Linked DNA regions of Nothobranchius furzeri. The protein of the gene in region 2 purifies or fractionates together with the protein of the main gene of each other region. This does not show direct contact. Links are inferred from orthologs where the notes say so. Each region holds a gene or a part of one and is shown on either strand. Other genes may lie near its edges.

Evidence for each region.
Region 1: the proteins of sgk2a (region 2) and fkbp5 purify together in Homo sapiens (affinity purification with mass spectrometry; 3 studies listed by BioGRID and IntAct, with this or other methods). This does not show direct contact. The link is inferred for Nothobranchius furzeri from reciprocal best matches to the Homo sapiens genes SGK2 and FKBP5.
Region 3: the proteins of sgk2a (region 2) and hsp90ab1 purify together in Homo sapiens (affinity purification with mass spectrometry; 3 studies listed by BioGRID and IntAct, with this or other methods). This does not show direct contact. The link is inferred for Nothobranchius furzeri from reciprocal best matches to the Homo sapiens genes SGK2 and HSP90AB1.

What each region holds. Positions count from the first base shown.
Region 1 is NC_091743.1:66,793,921-66,800,296, reverse strand, and holds the end of fkbp5 (peptidyl-prolyl cis-trans isomerase FKBP5), read left to right. Parts: coding exon 1-52; intron 53-156; coding exon 157-301; intron 302-551; coding exon 552-694; intron 695-1,697; coding exon 1,698-1,812; intron 1,813-1,902; coding exon 1,903-2,059; intron 2,060-2,806; coding exon 2,807-2,897; intron 2,898-3,074; coding exon 3,075-3,158; intron 3,159-3,242; coding exon 3,243-3,428; intron 3,429-3,512; coding exon 3,513-3,752; intron 3,753-4,902; coding exon 4,903-4,986; 3' UTR 4,987-5,218; downstream 5,219-6,376. UniProt on the Homo sapiens protein: Immunophilin protein with PPIase and co-chaperone activities. Component of unligated steroid receptors heterocomplexes through interaction with heat-shock protein 90 (HSP90).
Region 2 is NC_091755.1:32,919,188-32,925,563, forward strand, and holds part of sgk2a (serine/threonine-protein kinase Sgk2), read left to right. Parts: intron 1-614; 5' UTR 615-629; coding exon 630-686; intron 687-1,206; coding exon 1,207-1,268; intron 1,269-2,836; coding exon 2,837-2,894; intron 2,895-3,929; coding exon 3,930-4,013; intron 4,014-6,257; coding exon 6,258-6,376. UniProt on the Homo sapiens protein: Serine/threonine-protein kinase which is involved in the regulation of a wide variety of ion channels, membrane transporters, cell growth, survival and proliferation.
Region 3 is NC_091742.1:8,414,595-8,421,625, reverse strand, and holds the start of hsp90ab1 (heat shock protein HSP 90-beta), read left to right. Parts: upstream 1-3,100; 5' UTR 3,101-3,241; intron 3,242-4,004; coding exon 4,005-4,148; intron 4,149-4,218; coding exon 4,219-4,425; intron 4,426-4,508; coding exon 4,509-4,668; intron 4,669-4,766; coding exon 4,767-4,900; intron 4,901-4,969; coding exon 4,970-5,278; intron 5,279-5,348; coding exon 5,349-5,514; intron 5,515-5,606; coding exon 5,607-5,797; intron 5,798-5,911; coding exon 5,912-6,059; intron 6,060-6,137; coding exon 6,138-6,406; intron 6,407-6,506; coding exon 6,507-6,840; intron 6,841-6,943; coding exon 6,944-7,031. Other genes in the region: rbm25b (RNA-binding protein 25b), read right to left, coding at 426-483, 625-836, 963-1,041. UniProt on the Homo sapiens protein: Molecular chaperone that promotes the maturation, structural maintenance and proper regulation of specific target proteins involved for instance in cell cycle control and signal transduction. Undergoes a functional cycle linked to its ATPase activity.

The DNA.
Region 1 (6,376 bases), on a different chromosome or scaffold from region 2:
TACTGCAAAGGGCATCGACGTAACGCCAAACAAAGACCAAGGAGTTATCAAGGTGTTCAGTCGTTATTTATGCCCGCTACGCAATTAAAATTGTTCCTCTTTTGGTGTTACAGTGTTAGATTTCTGTGCCAAATGGAAAACTGTCTCTGTGGCCAGGTTGTGAAGCGTCAGGGGGACAATGGGGACCGTCCAATGATCGGGGACAAAGTCACCTTACACTACACTGGAAAACTGCTCTCTGGGAAGAAATTTGACTGCAGCCGACAGCGCAAAGAACCTTTTTGCTTCAATGTGGGCAAAGGTAGCTGTCTTCATGCCTTGCTGTAAAACACAAGAGCTCAGTTGTATCAAAAAGACATGCAGGCTTCACACAGTGAGCTGTATATTAGATAAGCTGATAAATGGAAAAAAGAACTTTTCCTTGTTTTTCAAGTTGCTCAGAATTTTACAAACATGGATATTTCTGATATTTGTGCCTTTATATTCTCAGTATTCCTGCCAGGCAGAGAAAATAATGGCTCCTTACTTTCTGGCTCCTTATTTTCTGACAGGACAAGTCCTGAAGGCATGGGACATCGGCGTATTGTCCATGCGGAGAGGTGAGGTGTGCACGCTGCTCTGTAAGCCGGAATACGCTTATGGATCTGCTGGAAATCCTGACAAAATTCCTCCAAACTCCTCAGTGGTGTTTGAGGTCAGTGCGTTTGTGCCATGCATTAATTCTTCATTAATGTGAGGGAATCTGCTGATTCAGAAGCACGTCTTGTTAATTTGAAGATTAAACTGATAGAAAATTAAGAAGTTTGTCTCCTTTAATCCTTCTGCCTACAAAACAGCACGTATTGTCTGAGTGCCACTCATTCCCAACATTCCTCTCTGGTTTTCAGACATTTGTGTAATTAAGCTTTTGAATTTGGCCTTATTATAATGTATTGCAAAGGGAAAATTTACATGTCTAGCGGTGCAGCCTGATTGGTCACATATTTATATTTAGAGACATAAACTAAAGCATATCATACTCTTTAAGGTTTAAACAATCTGTAAATTGTGGCATAAACAAAGAGAAAATTAAATATCAGCGTAAGGAATGACTAGAAAAAGGCCTCTTAGGTAATTTTTCTCAGAGAAAACTAAATTAGCTAAACTGGACTAATTAATCTGTTTTTGCAAAACCACAGCAGCAAGAGTGCTCAGCTCTGGGGATGAAGTTCGAAAGTTGTGGTGACATTTTAAAATGGATACAAACTTTTATCACAGTCCAGCAAATTTAGAGATAATTTGACATTTCAATACTTAGGAAGAAGTAGCTTAGCAACACCGCAGGCCCTGCTTCTTTTTGTCAAGGATATGCTCAAAAATACTGTTTATCTGATTTTGCATTAGTAAAAATAACAGATTCAGCAACAGTCAAATAAGCATCTTTTAAAATTTCATTTAAACTAAAAAATGCAAGAAAAAATAACGAAAGTAACTTGCAGGATTTTTGCTGTGTTCGTGCACACATTCTGTCGGGTTTCAGTGCATAAACGATGCACATCCAGTTTCACACTTCTCCAGCAGACATCATTATATCACAATTTTTTATTAACACGTCTCTCACTTTTTTATTATTTCCTCCTACATGTGTTGAATTCTGCACATATTTTGTTTTCTGCTTTAGCTTTATGATCTATAAAGAATTTTTGTTTTTCTAACAGATGGAGCTGCTTAACTTTGAAGGAGAGGTGCTGTCAGAGGATGGCGGCATCATCAGGAGAATAAAGGTCAAAGGTGACGGTTACAGTAACCCCAACGATGGAGCAAATGTCGATGGTAGTGACACAATTAGTTTGAAAGGCATAATTGTTTTGGTTTGATATAAAACATAAATCGGAGGTTAAATTGCATCTTGTTGTCCTGCAGTTCACGTGGAGGGACGATGTGGGGACCGGTTGTTTGACTGCCGAGACGTTAGCTTTACTGTTGGTCAAGGTGAAGATAAAGGCATTCCTTTGGGGGTGGACCGAGCTATGGACAAGATGCAAAAAGGAGAGTGCTGTTTACTTCAGTTAAAACCAAAGTAAGTTTCTTACAAATCCTTCAAAAATGCCATCTGTGTCATTTGCATGAGTCATTCTGAGGGGGCTTTCATTAACCACAGCTTGAATCTGTCATACAATAATAATAATTTTAGTTTGTTGTTTTCATCTCATGCCATTTACAAAGGATTTCAGCAGCTGTTTCTGCAAAATGAAAATGTTTTTTATAGCGACGTCACAAAGTTGTTTGCAGATTAATAATTGATATGTTTTTTTTTCTCATCGAAGTAACTAAATTTTGTGAAAAGAAACACTTTTGCATTTCCAATAAGGTTTAAGTACTGCAAAATAAAATTTAAGAATGCAACAAAATGCCTATTGGTAGGAAAGCATATAGTTTTTGATTTCTTCAATGGAAATCTGAAGCTTTCCTTAATGCTTCCCAGGGAGAGAGTATGTTTGATTGAAGAGTTCAGGAGTAACGAGAACACAGCTATTGTTCGGACTTCGAGATTTTTTTTTTTTGTGAAACTGCAACATTTTCCACTTAGTATTTACAGGTTAAATCTGAGGTAGAGGTGTTGTATAAGAACTGTGGATTCTTGTGCATCAGTAAAACAGGTTAAAGGACTCATCTCTGACTCATTTGCTAAAATGCCTGAAGTCCACCACTCTTCTAGCATGCAGCGTAACAGACGAAGCTCGTTATTTATGCTAGTTGTATTGATTAAACAAGTAATCGACTCCTTTAATGCTTAAGCATTATTGACATGCTTTTCTTTTTACAGGTATGGCTTTGGAAACGAAGGTAAACCGGAGTTCAAAATTGGACCAGACAAAGAAATTGCATATGAAGTTACTCTTAAAGACTTCACTAGGGTGAGTTTCCATTTTCTTTGATTGAACAAAGAAAACCTTTATTTACCAGATACAATACAAAACATATGCATGGTATTTTGGGTTCAAGTCTCATTTTAGACACATTTAAGCACATATCAAACCTACTACCTACAAACATCAAAACCCTAAATTAATGTTTGCTGTTTTATTTTAAAGGCTAAAGAGTCCTGGGAAATGGACTTGAGTGAAAAGCTGGAATTGACTGCTGCGGTGAAAAGCAAAGGGAATCAGTATGTTAAGGTAACGTATCTGTGATTGTGTTCAAATGAATCATTCTGCTTCTCATCTAAATAATCCTAACTTATTTTGAAAATCTATAATCAGGCAGGACGGTACCACCAGGCGGTCATCCAGTACCAGCGCATCATTTCCTGGCTGGAGTTGGAGTGTGGCTCTGGAATGGAGCAATACAAGAAGATCCAGGACTACGTTATGACGGCTCATCTTAATTTAGCGTTGTGTTTCCTTCGGCTAAAGGAGTTCTCACAAGTGGTGGACAACTGTAACAAGGTGAGCTGCGTGACCCTGATGATTAGATCACCACCTCCTGCAGCAGCTGAGTTCCTTCTCATACTGTGTGTTTGTGTGTTTAAGGTAATTGAACAGGATGCGAGCAATGAGAAGGCTCTGTATCGCCGTGGGGAGGCCCGGCTCCTCCGCAACGAGTACAACCTAGCCTTGTTGGACTTTCAAAGAGTGCTGGAAGTCAACCCGTCGAATCGAGCAGCTCGTGGTCAAATTTCCAAATGCCAGAACAAAATGAAGGAACATCAAGCCCAGGAGAAAATGATCTATGCTAACATGTTCCAGAAATTTGCAGAGCGTGACTCAAAGGTCTGTAAACACTCACTCAGACATATTTTTCCCTTCCCTTTGCTTTCCTTTGTTTAGTTACACTTTCCCACTAACGTTTAAAACCTTTTAAGTCTTAACTGACTCCTAACGTAATAGGAGCCAACACTGACTGAGTGTTGCCGTTGAAACTGATGTTTAAAAATTGTAATTCAAATAATTTTTCATAACTTATTTTTAAAACTGAACGAAACCAAACATTTAAAGAATCTTACTTGGATGGGCTCACACTCGGTCTGCTAATTTCAAATTTAAAGTTGTGGAACAGCGAAAACCATTTTTTAACGATTATTTCTGATTAGAATCGATCACTCTGAGTTTTTCATGCAGGCTTAACATGAAGATAGTCTCCTACACTAATCTTGTGCAGTAGCTTCTGATAGAAAATAGATGGTAAAACGTTAGGATTTGAAAAGCCTGACAGATCTACTTCACATTACATCAATTAGCATTCATGGACTCCGTCTTTGACTCACGACATGGAAGGCTGTTGTTGCTTTAGCATCCAGGAAATAGCAGAGAACGTCTCGGCTAGTTTAAGCTAACTTCAGCATTAGCAACTCCACCACACAGCAGAACTCCTACAGTCTTGTGCTATTTGTGGAGATAATAAATTAGCATTGCCCCCAATGAGAACGACTTACAAGGCATTCATTCCTACTAAAGACCACTACAAATGTATTGATTAAACGAGTGACCCACACCTTTAACTACTTTAAAAGAAGAAGCAGAAGAAAAAAAAGAAAGTTATGATTAGTCTATTAAATCATGCTTCCAGTTGAAATAACAATAATGATCTGAAATGTATAAATTCTGGCTGCACTATATGTATATATATATATATATATATATATATATATATATATATATATATATATATATATATATATATATACACACATATTTAATTGTTTTGATTTCAATCTGAATTTGTCCAGCCTTTCTGTGAATGCTTTGTTAAACATTATACTGCCCTCTAGTGGCAAGATTAAACATTTAAGTGAAAATGCAGCAATAAGAAATGTTATCAGAATATTTATGCTATTAAAGGTGTTTGAAACTAAAATTTTGGAAACATAAAACTTTAATTATTTTTGATTTTTTGTATTTGTTTATCTTATTCTCTGAAAAGAAGGGGAAGACGAAGAGGAGGAGCAGCATGAACGGTGAAATGTGCATTAAACGACGACGGAGGAGTCAGGACTGTGCTTCGTAACAGAAGAACAGAGGCAGAGAAAAGGTGGAATAACAACCTCAAATCTACAACCTCTTCATCCCAAATCCCGTGGACCACATGTGCGCGAGCAAAGCAGATGGCAATTCTCTGTCTCTAGTACAGTAGAACAACCAGATCGTTCCCCCGTGGAGGTCGAACGACAACGTGACTTTGTGTAGATCGGTGAATAGGTTTCACCCATTTTTATTGGAAAAAGCAGTTTAAATTCAAAACACTGAGAATCTCTTCCTTTGGTTTTCTATATATATTTATATATATATACACACACACACACACACACACACACACACACACACACACACACACACACACACACACACACACACATATATATATATATATATATATATATATATATATATATATATATATATATATAAATGTGTATGTGTGTGTGTGTGCATATGTATTTGGCTACTGTGTTAATATGTGCCTTCATACTTTGTTTTCAAGTTGACATTTGCTGGTTTTCAGACCTCTGATTTGGTATTGAGCCTTTTATAAGGCAGCTGCTTGCGCATATCATGTTGGGAATCAGACTTGAAACTTTGCAAAATTATTATTTTTTAAGATGTGCAATATGGATTTTGGATAAAAGGAGTAAACTATTAGCCCAGTGGTCTATGTATGTGTGTGTATATATATGTGTGTATATATATATACATATACATACACATATATATATATATATATATATTTATATATATATATATATATATATATATATATATATATATATATATATTTATATATACATAGACACACACAATTTCATAAGGCAACAGGAGCAGTCTCAAAAAAGCACAAAGTACAGAAGCCAAAATTGTAAAGTAACGTCAAACGTTAAAAACTTGCAAATCCATGATTGACTGTAAAACGCGACAGTAGTTGTACTGAAATTAATCCTTTGAAGTAATTACTTCCAGGACCATGTTGCAAATGGAGCACTTTGTTTTCCTAAGAATTTATTTGACAATGGTCATGCACTAAAATTAGGAATACCTAACTCATTCATGCTGAAACGTGTCTATTTTAACCCATCAGACAGTATTACAGGGAAGCCAGTCTGGGACTGTTGTTGATCAAACAAAAAATGATAAGCATTTGTGTTAATTAACAGATGAGCTATGAAAAATTATTACATTTCAATCGTTTGGCAGCTGCAAAAACCTTGACGCAACAAAAGCTGCAAAAACCTTGACACAACAAAAGAAAACATGACAGCATAGACTAAATGGAATGGAATGCATCATTGTGATGCTGTGGTTAGCATCGTTTTTGTACGTTCTGGGTTTGACCTGGACTTTTTACGTAGAGTTTGTTTGGATTTTAGCAGTTTTCTCCAGCAGCTTAAAGATGTGCACATCAG
Region 2 (6,376 bases):
AAAACATCATTAGTGTGGCTTTTGTTGTGTGTGTGTGTGTGTGTGTGTGTGTGTGTGTGTGTGTGTGTGTGTGTGTGTGTGTGTGTGTGTGTGTGTGTGTGTGTGTGTGTGTGTGTGTGTGTGTGTGTGTGTGTGTGTGTGTGTGTGTGTGTGTGTGTGTGTGTGTGTGTGTGACGTAAACATGTGATCTTGTGTTTCAGTAAAGATGAAAAAGAAACAATATTTTAAATATAAACATGTTCATTTCCGTTTCGCTTTACACACATGCATACACACACACACACACACACACACACACACACACACGATAATTATTATTTTTGGGGGTGTCTAGTTTTTGTCTTCAGAGAGTCAGTACCATTACTGGGACTTTATAAACACTGACCACAATGAGAACAATGCATTTGCACGTTTATCTATTACTCACACAATGCACCTCATTGTTTTGTCAGCATTTCATTCCACGGAAACCGATCATTTGGATCCTTGGGGTGTGAAATACCGCAGTCAGCAGCTGATTTTGCCAAAATGAAACGCAGCAAGAAGAAATCGGCTAAATAAGGAAACGACTGTAGGACATGTTTGAGTCCTAAATGTCTGCTCTCCTCCCACAGGTTGGTCAAACACTGATGTTCCTGGTGGGTCTTCAGAGAGACCAGAATTTAAGAACCATGGCACACTGTAATGTGAGTGTTTGTTCCCTTTTTTGTCTTAAAACTCTGCAGCCTGATTTGTTCACTTTCATGACATTTTGAAGTGATTTTCGTTGTAAAATGTATAAATAACTATTATTTGGCCTAGTTTGGACAGCATCAGTTGACTTCTGTTCAGAAAAAAAGCACACGTTCTAGAAGACTGATGAGCTAACGGCTAGTCTGAATGGAGGCAACACCAATGTTCTTTGCTGACGTTTTAAAGATCATCAATCTCATAAATGTTAAAGTGGCTGATGCAACCTTTAGTTATAAACCTTTCCAGCACTGCCATTTTCACATCATGTGGAATTTTATAGTTATTAACAAATGTAATATCAAAATTTAGCTATTCTAGTTAATCTGCGAGTCAAGGATGCATGGATGCCTTAAATGCAGAGGATTAGAAGTTAATAAGTGTTTCTTATTTAATAGAAGCAGTTTATGATCAGTGTCAATGACATACGTGTGTATTTCCTGTTGGCTTTTAAGTAATCTTGTGTTTTTTTTCCAGTTGCGATCAGCATCCCCTTCTTCTCATGACGATGTCAATTTGGGACCTTCAGCAAACCCACAGTCAGTAGTTGTGCTCAGGCTGATGTTTACTCAGATGGATTAGCCCACGTGTAAACATTTCTGCATAAATGTTGTTTGGAACGTCACAGAAGTTACAGTTTGAATAGAACATCTGGGGTTTTCGGCCCTTTACCGGTAAAAGAACAGATCCTAATATTGCAGGAAAACAGGTCCTTCCATAAAAAAGTTTTGACCTAATAGAATTCCTGTCTTACCTTCAGGGCTGTTGTCCGGCTCCGTGAGTCACCTTTTATCGAATCTCGGTTTATGAACAAGTTTTTTGTATTCATCAGAATTTAGTGATCCATTAAAATCTTCTCTGCCGAGGGTCTTGTCCTGGAATGCAGTGATATTTTTTCTTTTTGTCTTTAGGAAGTTCAGCTTTTGTATCATCTGTTTACAAAACCCCTTTTCCATGAACCTTCTGACTTCTTAAGATAATCTTTAACAAACAGTAGAGGGGCGGCCGTGGACATTTATTAAACTTAACACTGACTGAAGTGAGAGACGTCTAGCTGTGAACGGATTCTTTCATGACCTCGAGGACTTTAACTTAACCTTGGACCACGTGTATGACTAGTTCACCTCAGTGTCCTTTAGTTGTGCATTATAATAACAATCTTTCTTCTATTTGGCAAACCAAACCAAACGTTGTACAGACAGTGATCTAGATCTACAGTCTCTTTTTGTACTTGTATATAAATACTACATATAGTACACTCTAAGAAAGGAAATGTTGAATTTACCAAGTTGTCAACTGGCTCCACTAAACCTCGTTACTTAAAGGTGTTATAGCAAATCTGCAAACAAGCTAGGTTTTGAATTCAAACACGGTCATGGAACACTCACCCTTTCCTCTTGGGTATCTTCCCTGAGGCACTTCTTCCGAAACTGGAGGAAACGAGATAGTGCTAAACACCAGGTACCGTTTTCTAGGTCCAAACGTCTTTTGTTGTCCGTGATTTCAAATGACGTTTTTCATTTTGAGACTGGTAGTTTGTCCTGAAGTTAAAGTGGTATTAGCCGGCTGTTTGTCCAACTCTTATATTATTGAGACACAAACCTCTCACATCAGGGGTGTTTTGTTGCTAAATATGCAAATGTGTGGAGGACCCAAGTGTGGCAGTTGAGCAAGTCCAACAACCGGATGGTCCAGTGGTTGCTTTCGGTCTGAAATGTGTTATTGGTGGAGGTTTTAGGACAAATGCAAGACAACTACTTAATTAATTTTTTTCATATTTTTTAATCTCCACAAGATAGTCATAGCTATACTACATTAGAACAAGGCGTGAAAATGTTTTAAGGTAATTTATTTTCCATATTTGCTATTGCAGTTATAAATGTAAAGACAAATATACATTTACATTTAACGAAAAAAGTTTAACAGTGTATATTACTCTTTACATTTAAGCAACTACGTCTAGCGGAATCAGGTGACATAATTTGGTTAAGCAAATTCAACTTTTCAGTTTTACAGTGTAGTTCCTAAGCACATTTAATTCCAAATTTTATGTCTTTTTGTCTGCAAATGAACCACATTTACTCACATTTCTCCTATCTCTGTACAGTGCCAGACCAACAGACTTTGACTTCTTGGCTGTCATTGGTAAAGGGACCTTTGGAAAGGTAAAACTGAAACAACTACTTATTTATCTCTTTATTGATGACTGCATCTCCTGTTTAGATGTCAGCAGGTTTCTCGTTAACCCTCTAGTTCTGTGCAGGTTTCTTAGTTTATTTGTTCCTGATTAAACGACAAGCCTCTTATAAATGAATAGTTTTTGTAGTTTAATCATTTACTATGCTGTAATTCTTTTCTGTGCTGACCTTGTGTGACAGAAGGGAGAAAATAACAGAATAAACTACCTTTATCAATATGTGTGCTTTATTAATCATTAGCTGTGCCACTCACAGAGACGTTTTATGGTTTTCCTCAACATCAGTCAGTCCTACAAAAGTTTTTTAACATTTTAATTATTTAAGACTCTATAGTCATGTTTGTTGTCCTGCTGAACCTTTAACCAAAGGTCCTGCAAGGAATGGTGTTGATTTGGATTTAGGTTTGTTTTCGCCATCATACTGAAATCTTAGCTTCTCTAATCACATGCATGTTATAACTGAATTGTAGAAACCTTTACGCAGCACACGCATGATTCCCTTAACTTCTAATGGAAATATTTAGCTTCCTATAAAAATAGGGACTTATTCTTCTCAGCTGATTGTGGACTGTTTGTTCAGGAGGCCCAAGCTCACTGGTGTGCTTATTGGAAAGCCAAAAGAAAGACATAATAACAAAATAAAATGTAGATAATCTTTGATTTATTATCTGATTGTTTATTAGGACAAAACAAGAACTGATCCAACATTTTCCCCAATAATTTCCCAAGATGTAGTATTTTATTAAACACTGTTGCTAATCCTTTAGCAACTACTTGTCTTCCAAACCTAATTGTGTTTTATGTATTAAGTTAACTCTTCATGGTTGCTTTCATAGTACTTTTTTCTTTTAATCAACGTAGCTCTTTTTTCTCAGTATCAGCTGTTTCCTCCGATCACCTTTCCGCATGCTTTGCTTTGCTGAAATGTCCTGACAGCAGTGTGATGTGATGCTGGTACTGAATATTTACTAAACAAACCACTAACAAGAAAACCATCATGCAGGTCCTGCTCGCCAAGCTCAAAGCCGACAACAAATTCTACGCCGTCAAAGTGTTGCAGAAGAAAATCATCCTGAAGAAAAAAGAGGTATTTCTATCCAAGTTTTTCTTTGTTTTTCTCTGAATCCATAAAAAAAAACCAAATCAATCTGAAAGCAGACATAAGAGGAAATGTGTTTGTGTCTGAGCATAAATCTATCTTTGGGAGTTATTAGTAAACAATTTTCTGACCTCTCAACACGACCGGCATCTTATCTAATCTCCAGCTTGTTACGTGCAAAGGACACATTTTACAGCCCACAGAAAATAAACCCGGTTACTTCTGTGTTTGTCGAACAACATGGAGAGAATATCTAATTGAAGACACTGATTCTCCTCTTATTTTGAAAGGCTCTTTTCTGCTTAGCCTAAACTGTTGAAGGCCCATGGAACAAACATCATTGCCCCGTGTCATTTTTGATTTTCTGAACGCTAAATTCAAAAGCCTGTCTTCACCTGTAGTGCTTGTGGGCGTAGACGTCAGTCTTTTATGCTCCTTTGAAGTCTGATAAAACCGTGTCTTCGGGTTTTACGGAGCTTTTATATCTACCAGTTTCTACAAACCTTTATTAGGGTCTTAATTTTTACTGTATACAGTACAATAGGAAGCCCAGGAAAGGCAGATTTTGCATTTTACTCATTAACACACTCTAGAAATGAAATGTTGAATTTACTTAACCAAGTTATTTCAGCTAGTTCCACTAAACTCAGTCGCCTGAATGTAATTGTTAAATGTTTTTACATTAAAAGTAAATGTATATTATTCCTTACATTTAAAGGAGTCATCACCTGAAATTTTCGCTTTTCCACTTTTCAACTTGGAAAAATGTTCATAATATAATTCCTAGTGATATTTCACTGGCCGGGAAGCTGACATTTAACATTGGATCGTTTTATTACTCTTGGCTTCTTCAACCAGCCCACGTGCACCCCACAAGCAAGCACACTCAAAAACAAGATCTTGAGTTCTGGCTTTGATGTTGTCACAAAGGCAGGATGTGCAGTATCATATATGGACAACGTAGAGCAATGCCGCTGTAGCCCGCACTGCTTCCCCTCAAGTTCAGTCGAGCGCTGCCATTACTGAAATCGGGAGAATGGTAAATGTCTTAGCGAGTTTCACTTGTAAGCTGCTCAGTTGTTATCTGCCAAACTCCACACATAAATGTGTTTGTTTAACAGAAATCAGACACACCTAGCAAACATTGGTCCAATGGCAAGGCTGCGAAAGACGTGGAATTCACAACCAGAAAAGAAGTTTCAACTTTCATTCTGGAAATAGTCTTCTCAAAAAATATAGTAATAATGGTTCAGATTTTAAAATATCAAACATTTATTGGAGTGCCATCGTCGTTTTAACACCATTTTTGGTAATAGAAACATTTTCAGGTAATAATAGGTGTCAAAGCGGTAGCTTCACTAGCAAAATGCCCGACTTGCACTCAGAGGGCCCGGGTCTGAATCCAGGCTGGGACATATGAGATTCTGACCTAGATGGCAACATGCGCATCAAAAAACCAAACATTTTCCCTAAATAGACTGACGTTGTTTATTTTAAATACATGTAAACATGTCAGTTTTGCTGAAGGCGAACTGGTTCTAATCAAGCTGAAGCAACCTGATAATGCAGTAGGAAAGCGACTGAATCTGCATGTGAATGGCTACGTTGAGCTGATACTGGTAACCTCCGGAAGTGACGAGTCCGTGGAAGCGGTCTTTTAAAAATATTCACCCAAAATAACACGTGTAACAGTGACGTGTTGCGAGGTTCATGACTGGGGAGGCGCTGACTGCTCTGGAGTCACTTACAAATATATGATCCCAAAGTAAAAGCTTGTATTTTTATATATATATATTTTACCTTGAATTAAATATGTTGTTGTTTTAAAGCTTTTTGATCATAATTTAATCAATTTCATACTATTCAAATACATACAATTTCATATACACACACTAGCAAGAAAAGTAAATTAATATTTGTTTTGTTTTCGATCTGTGTTGCTATAAGCTAACTGGAAGAATGTGGCATGTCGCCACCTACTGTACCGGAGTGGAATGAACTTCATTTGAGGGTTTTCTAACGTACATGTAAACCTGTAAAGCTGTCAGTTATTACTTTAGATCAACCTAGATTGACTTAGATGCACTTGTAAACACACTGACTGTGTGAACTGCAGGTAGCACTGGGAAACATCAACTTTGTGTTTTCACTTTAATTGCAAACATAACAATATTTAGCTGCAAAGAAGCAACATAAACTATTTGAAAGTTTCTGTTTTTACTTTCTGTTTAGCAAAAGAACATCATGGCAGAGAGAAATGTGCTACTGAAGAGTCTGAAACACCCGTTTCTGGTTCGACTTCACTACTCCTTCCAGACTGCTGAGAAACTCTACTTTGTCCTTGACTACGT
Region 3 (7,031 bases), on a different chromosome or scaffold from region 2:
CAAACATCTTTACTGTGAACTAAATTTACTGTGTACTGTTGTGTGACACAACACACCATTTACGGTTCTGAGATGATTACATTCACTGTTCACATGACTAAACAATAACACATCACCCCCTCACCCTCTGAAACAGGCAAACAAATGGAGACGGGATGGAAAAAATATTGGTTGTCAATATCGGCCCGGTTTTATTTATCGAACCGATGTTAAAAAATGACTACCATCGGCCGATACCGATATTGATGCTGATATATTGTCCATCCCTAATTTCTTTGTTATTCACAAATGTGTGGTTTTTATTTGTTTAGTAAGAAGTTGCATTTCACACCTCTGGACCACATTGTTTTGTTTTCTTTAAGTGATCGCGAAAGTTAGCAATGAGAGTAAGCTACTGAAAGTTGCTGTGCAGAACTGTAAATCACCTTGAAGTTTGCCAGAGGCTCCTTGGACTCTCTTCCAGCTCAAAACAATACCACATTTCTGTAAACGTAGGACAATTACTAAAATAACATAATAAACACACACACACCATTAACAGTTAACAAAAATTATGCAAGCAGCATTTCTATATATGGATATTCAAAAGGTATGTGTAGTTTACACATATTTTCTAATTCTTACCGCCAGCAACTGTCTGATGAGCATGTCTGAAGCTTTCTCTGAAATGTTCCCCACAAACACGGTGGTGATAGGTCCACTGCTCTCTTCATCTTTGGCTCGCAGAGCAGAATAGTCTTTCTTTGGCATGGGAGGCTTACTGAGGACTGGAACAGACTGGACCATGACTGCAGGGGTGGGGGCCATGATGCCCATGTGGACAGGGATCATAGGAGCTGCAGCACATGCAACAAAAAAAAGTTGTTAAGACTGTGAATATGAAATTAATTAAATTATTACAAATAATGAGCATCTAAGAGGTGTCATGTTGCGTAATTTACGGGAGCCTGGTTGGTACTTACCTGTGGGGAAGCCAGCATACTGAGGAGGAATCCCAGGTGGGGGCAACAGCGGTCGATTTAAATGAGGAGGGAAGGACATTTTGAGGGTGAATGTGGCCTAAAGAAGACACATTAAAGGCCATTAGTGTTGTTTGCATAAGGTAAAAACGTCCAAACAGCTCAAGTAAAAACACAGAGGGAGCGAACATTAGTGTATCCACAATGAGGAAACACTGAAGGTCTCGGTGGTGAACATTACAAATCGATAGTGACTTTTATTTGACTTTGCTGGAACGTTAACTAAACTTAGCCAAACTTTGTGAGGTGCCATTCGCTAATTAGAAGTAACAAAGTCCAAACTTCTTAAAAATATTAACATCTCAACAATATTAAGACTAACCACACACAACAGCTAAGTACGCTAAAGCTAGCAATGAGCACGTTACCCGATATAACACCGGCACAGCTAAAATGCTAAAGTAACCTAGCCCGAGCAGATGTTAATTTATAATAAAACACTGACTTTCCCAAGGCTAAACATGAGCTCGAAGTAAATATAAAAGCCTCTACATATACCTACCACTCAACCAGGTGGCGTATGATGAGATAAAATCCACTAAAAATGTTAATGATAGTGAATTAATAGCTAACGTTCTGGACGCCTGATTAGCACGCTAGCTGGTCGCGGGCCCTCGAAAAGTTTGACGCACGCGCTTTAGGAGCAAGAGTACTGGCGCGCTTGTTTTGTGCACCAGAGTGTATACACTGAACGGGGCTTAATGTGAATTCGCAAAATGAACCCTTTTCAGGAAACGAAACTTCTGCTAACAGGGTTCGATCAGATTACCTAACTAACCTTGGAAGACCTAATGCGCGGTAGTAACTAAATGAATAAAAAAGGTTGAATAATAATAGCATTGAAATTAAGTTACACCAAAAAAGCGGTCCGCATTTTTTTTATTAAAACGATTTGTTTCTAATCGGTTTAATTTACAAAACATCTGATCACATAAAAAAACAGCATTGTGATTTTCCTACTCGTTTTAATCAATTAGAGGATAAAGCCATCATATGATTATTTCAATGTTAAACTTCTTTTTAAATGTTTTTTAAAAGAGTACATAAAAATTCTGTGTACATTATTGTTAAAATGGTCATTCTTACCAATTCTGAAATTGTAACTAATAAATAACATATTCTGTATGCAAAGTATGACTGTACTTCTGTTATTTATCACTGAGGTTACTATCTAAATTTATAAATGTGTCTTCTGTAGTTAAACTACATAATAGAAAGCTGAATCATAATCATTTGTGCATCTCTTGCATTTGATGGGTCTAACTGCGTACATTTATTCCACTCTAATCCACTTGACAACAGTGACTTCTTCCCCTTACACTGTACTAAAAACTCAATTCCAAAGTCGTGATCAACATGACAAATATAGTATTACATTTATGTATAGCAGTCCATCTTCCACTGGTGTTCTATGTCCATAAGAAAATCTGTAATTCATATAATAACAACCATTAGTTCATTTGACAATATAAAGCATATATTCTCATGATTCAGTACGGAAAAGGGTTGAGTTGATGGTTGTTAAGGCGTTTTTGCTGTAGGAACATTTTGTGACAGATGATACGTCGGGAGAGGAAAGGGGGAGATCTGTGACGTCACTTTAAGGCGGGGCTTTCATGGAAAGTGCTAGAAGCAGGCTAGAAGAAACGAAGCACACCTTCTCGTGTTTGAAATATTCATCCGTCGGAGTAAAAAGACCCACAGTCTATGTCGAATTTCAGGGAAACTAGACGCCACTTGAGATTTGAACTTGACGCGTGGTTTTAGTGTTATGCGAATCATTTCTCTATGTTGTCGCTAGATGGGATGATTGAGATCAAAAAACATCGCCTCTCAGTGCATGGTTTGCTGTAGCTCAACCTACCACAAGATGGCGACAACGTTACACTAAGGTCCGACTTCGTATACATTTTCTTTACTTAGATTGCATAATTGGCATTTAAACCCTTTTTACCCAACAAAACGTGAATAATAGATTATTCTTTTCCAGTGAGGAAGCATACAATGTGTGTTTAGTTCTGGCTGCGGTTTTACATAAAAGTGATTGCTTCAGGTTGTAGCTCGTGAACTGCGGATGGATACGACTGCACACTGCGACCCACGTGTATAAAGACTGGTCTGGTGCCGAAAAGTAGTTCCTTTCCTTTTTCTTCAGTCAGGGAGCGCAAGGGACTACACTTTTGCTGCATTTTATTCAAGAAAAAGTCAACGAAATTACCAAGGTGCGTACATTAACGGGTCCGTAGCTCGTGTCAGACATCCTTACCTTTATAAGTTTGTTAAAATATCATCGGTATGTATGTGTTTAACGAACATTATTAGTTAATGAAAATCCAGAGGTTAATATGGTGGTCGAATAAGTGTTTCGTGGAAGACAGACGCCTAGTACGTCGGCTGATGTTTTCATTTTCCTCTCGAGAGACTACTATTTGCTTATGTTTCCGAGCATCGTAGTGATGCTCTTGAGCAGCGGGAATGCGGCACCGTGATGTCAGGCAGGTGTGGTGACGGTGACTCCGCTGGATCGAGTTCTCGGCCTGATTAAATCCGTTATAAACCCACGTTAAACCGGTACACTGAGTTTAATGTGTGCGTAATAAGGCCTGGTTACCAGCCACGAGGGGTAGTGTTCATTTGGTCGTTACGTAATTGAACGCGGTTTCAATTAACCTCCACGTTTTACTGAAACTATCACATGGAGGCTAAAACAAGTACGTTTGTAGTATTTATGGAAGTCGTCGTCGCATTGTTTATCTATTAAAGTGACTTGAGTTGATCCGCCTTAATCGTTCGCCAGCACGTGTTTGCTGCGTCCATTGTCTAGTAGAAGCCATGTTTGTTAACTGACACTTCCGCCCTTATGTAGCAGACTGCTGCAGCGGCCATCCAACTTAATGAAGCCACTTGACGAAATCGCGTTACTTTGAAACTATCTTAAGTTCTGTTTCACTTTCATTTACTGAAGTGACTTTGTTATATTTTCAGATGCCTGAAGAAATGCACCAAGAGGAGGAGGTTGAGACCTTTGCCTTCCAGGCAGAGATCGCTCAGCTGATGTCCCTGATCATCAACACCTTCTACTCCAACAAAGAGATCTTCCTTAGGGAGTTGATCTCAAACGCTTCTGATGTGAGTCTGCTGAAGCTTCAGTATTCTTCTGACTTTAAGGAAGAAACTAACCGCTATTCCCTGTTTTCAGGCTCTGGACAAAATCCGCTATGAAAGCTTGACTGACCCCTCAAAACTGGACACTGGCAAAGATCTGAAAATTGACATCATTCCCAACAAAGCTGACCGGACTTTGACCCTGATTGACACCGGGATTGGCATGACCAAAGCTGACCTTATTAACAACCTGGGCACCATCGCCAAGTCGGGCACAAAGGCCTTCATGGAGGCCCTCCAGGTACTACGCATCCCATAATGGCCTGCACAGGATCTTAAGAGACTGACTGATCTTGTGAAGCTAAATTTGTTTTATTCCTCCAGGCTGGTGCTGACATCTCAATGATTGGTCAGTTCGGTGTGGGTTTTTACTCTGCTTATCTTGTTGCTGAGAAAGTGGTCGTCATCACCAAACACAATGATGATGAGCAGTACGCCTGGGAGTCATCTGCTGGAGGTTCCTTCACAGTCAAGGTTGACAGCGGTGTGTAATTCTAACCATCACCAGTGACGTCTGAGTGTGCACTACTTGCTTACTCTAGTTTATTTTAGCTTTTCTGAAAATTCCTCAAATGTTTTCAGGCGAGCCCATTGGCCGTGGAACTAAGATCATTCTGCACCTGAAGGAGGACCAGACAGAGTATGTGGAGGACAAGAGGGTCAAGGAGATCGTTAAGAAGCACTCTCAATTCATTGGCTACCCCATCACCTTGTTTGTAAGTGCTTAAAAGTACGTTTTAAAAATTTTAAGTCTTGGGCAGATTTCTAAAGCTTTTATGTCGCAGGTGGAGAAGGAGCGCGACAAGGAGATTAGTGACGACGAGGCAGAGGAGGAAAAGACCGAGAAAGAGGAGAAAGAAGAAGAAGCTGAAGACAAGCCCAAGATTGAAGATGTGGGTTCAGATGATGAGGAGGATTCCAAAGACAAGGACAAGAAGAAGAAGAAAAAGATCAAGGAGAAGTACATTGATCAGGAGGAGCTGAACAAGACCAAGCCCATCTGGACCAGGAACCCCGATGACATCACAAATGAAGAATATGGTGAATTCTACAAGAGTCTAACAAATGACTGGGAGGATCACCTGGCTGTCAAGGTACACGAGTTTCCGACAAAGTTTTAACCCTGCGGGCTGATTTTTTTTCTAATGCTTTATTTTCTTTCAGCACTTCTCTGTGGAAGGCCAGCTGGAGTTCAGAGCCCTGCTCTTTATTCCTCGCCGTGCACCCTTTGACCTCTTCGAGAACAAGAAAAAGAAGAACAACATCAAGCTGTACGTCAGGCGGGTCTTCATCATGGACAACTGTGAGGAGCTCATTCCTGAGTATCTGAGTAAGTTCAGCTGCATTTTCCACTGTGGTCTGAAATGATTCCACAGACTCTTTAAATGGCTAATGCATTTAAAATTACTTTGTCCACTCAAGACTTCATCCGTGGTGTTGTGGACTCTGAGGACCTGCCCCTCAACATCTCCAGAGAAATGCTGCAGCAAAGCAAGATCCTGAAGGTTATTCGCAAAAACATAGTCAAGAAGTGCTTGGAGCTGTTTGCAGAACTGTCGGAGGACAAAGACAACTACAAGAAATTCTACGAGGCTTTCTCAAAGAACATGAAGGTATTGAAACTAAATGGTGGATTCATCTGAATTGGCTTGGTGTGTTTTATAAACTGAGGGACGCATTGCTGTATTTTGCATTTAAAGATCATGTTTGGTTGCTTTTTTCCTCAGCTGGGCATACATGAGGACTCTCAGAACCGCAAGAAGCTGTCTGAGCTTTTGCGCTACCACAGCTCCCAGTCTGGTGATGAGATGACCTCCTTGACTGAGTACCTCACCCGCATGAAGGAAAACCAGAAGTCGATCTACTACATTACTGGTACTAACACACACTATCTGGAAACCACACCTCCCCGTAGACTTGTTCATCCTTGCTGAGGATCTGGTTTCTCTGCAGGTGAGAGCAAAGATCAGGTGGCCAACTCCGCCTTCGTCGAGCGTGTCCGCAAACGTGGCTTTGAGGTGCTGTACATGACAGAGCCCATTGATGAGTACTGCGTCCAGCAGCTGAAGGAGTTCGATGGCAAGACCCTGGTCTCTGTCACCAAGGAGGGTCTAGAGCTGCCTGAAGATGAGGATGAGAAGAAAAAGATGGAGGAGGACAAAGCCAAATATGAGAACCTCTGCAAGCTCATGAAGGAGATCCTCGACAAAAAAGTGGAGAAGGTGTGTGTTTTGGGTTTCCTTTCCCTGTAGGCTTAAGTTTTCATGAAGGGTTTCCTTGTGGTCCAACATGGTGTAAACCTTTGTGCTTAATTTCCTCCAGGTGACTGTGTCCAACAGGCTGGTGTCTTCCCCTTGCTGCATTGTGACAAGCACGTATGGCTGGACGGCAAACATGGAGAGGATCATGAAGGCCCAGGCACTCAGGGACAACTCCACCATGGGTTACATGATGGCCAAGAAGCACTTGGAAATCAACCCTGACCATCCAATCATGGAGACTCTGAGGCAGAAGGCTGAGGCTGACAAGAACGACAAAGCAGTGAAAGACCTTGTTGTCCTGCTCTTTGAGACGGCCCTGCTTTCTTCAGGCTTCTCTCTCGATGATCCACAGACTCATTCCAACCGTATCTACAGGATGATCAAACTTGGCCTTGGTAGGAACTCATCAGATTAGCTGTTGGTGGGTTTTTATTTCTCTCCTTTCTAATGTGTGCTTATGGGGTTTTTTTTTTTTTTTTTTTTTTTTTTTTTTTTTAGGTATTGATGATGATGACATTCCAACAGAAGAGACCACCACCACCACATCTGTTCCAGAAGAGATGCCACCTCTTGAAGGTGATGAAGA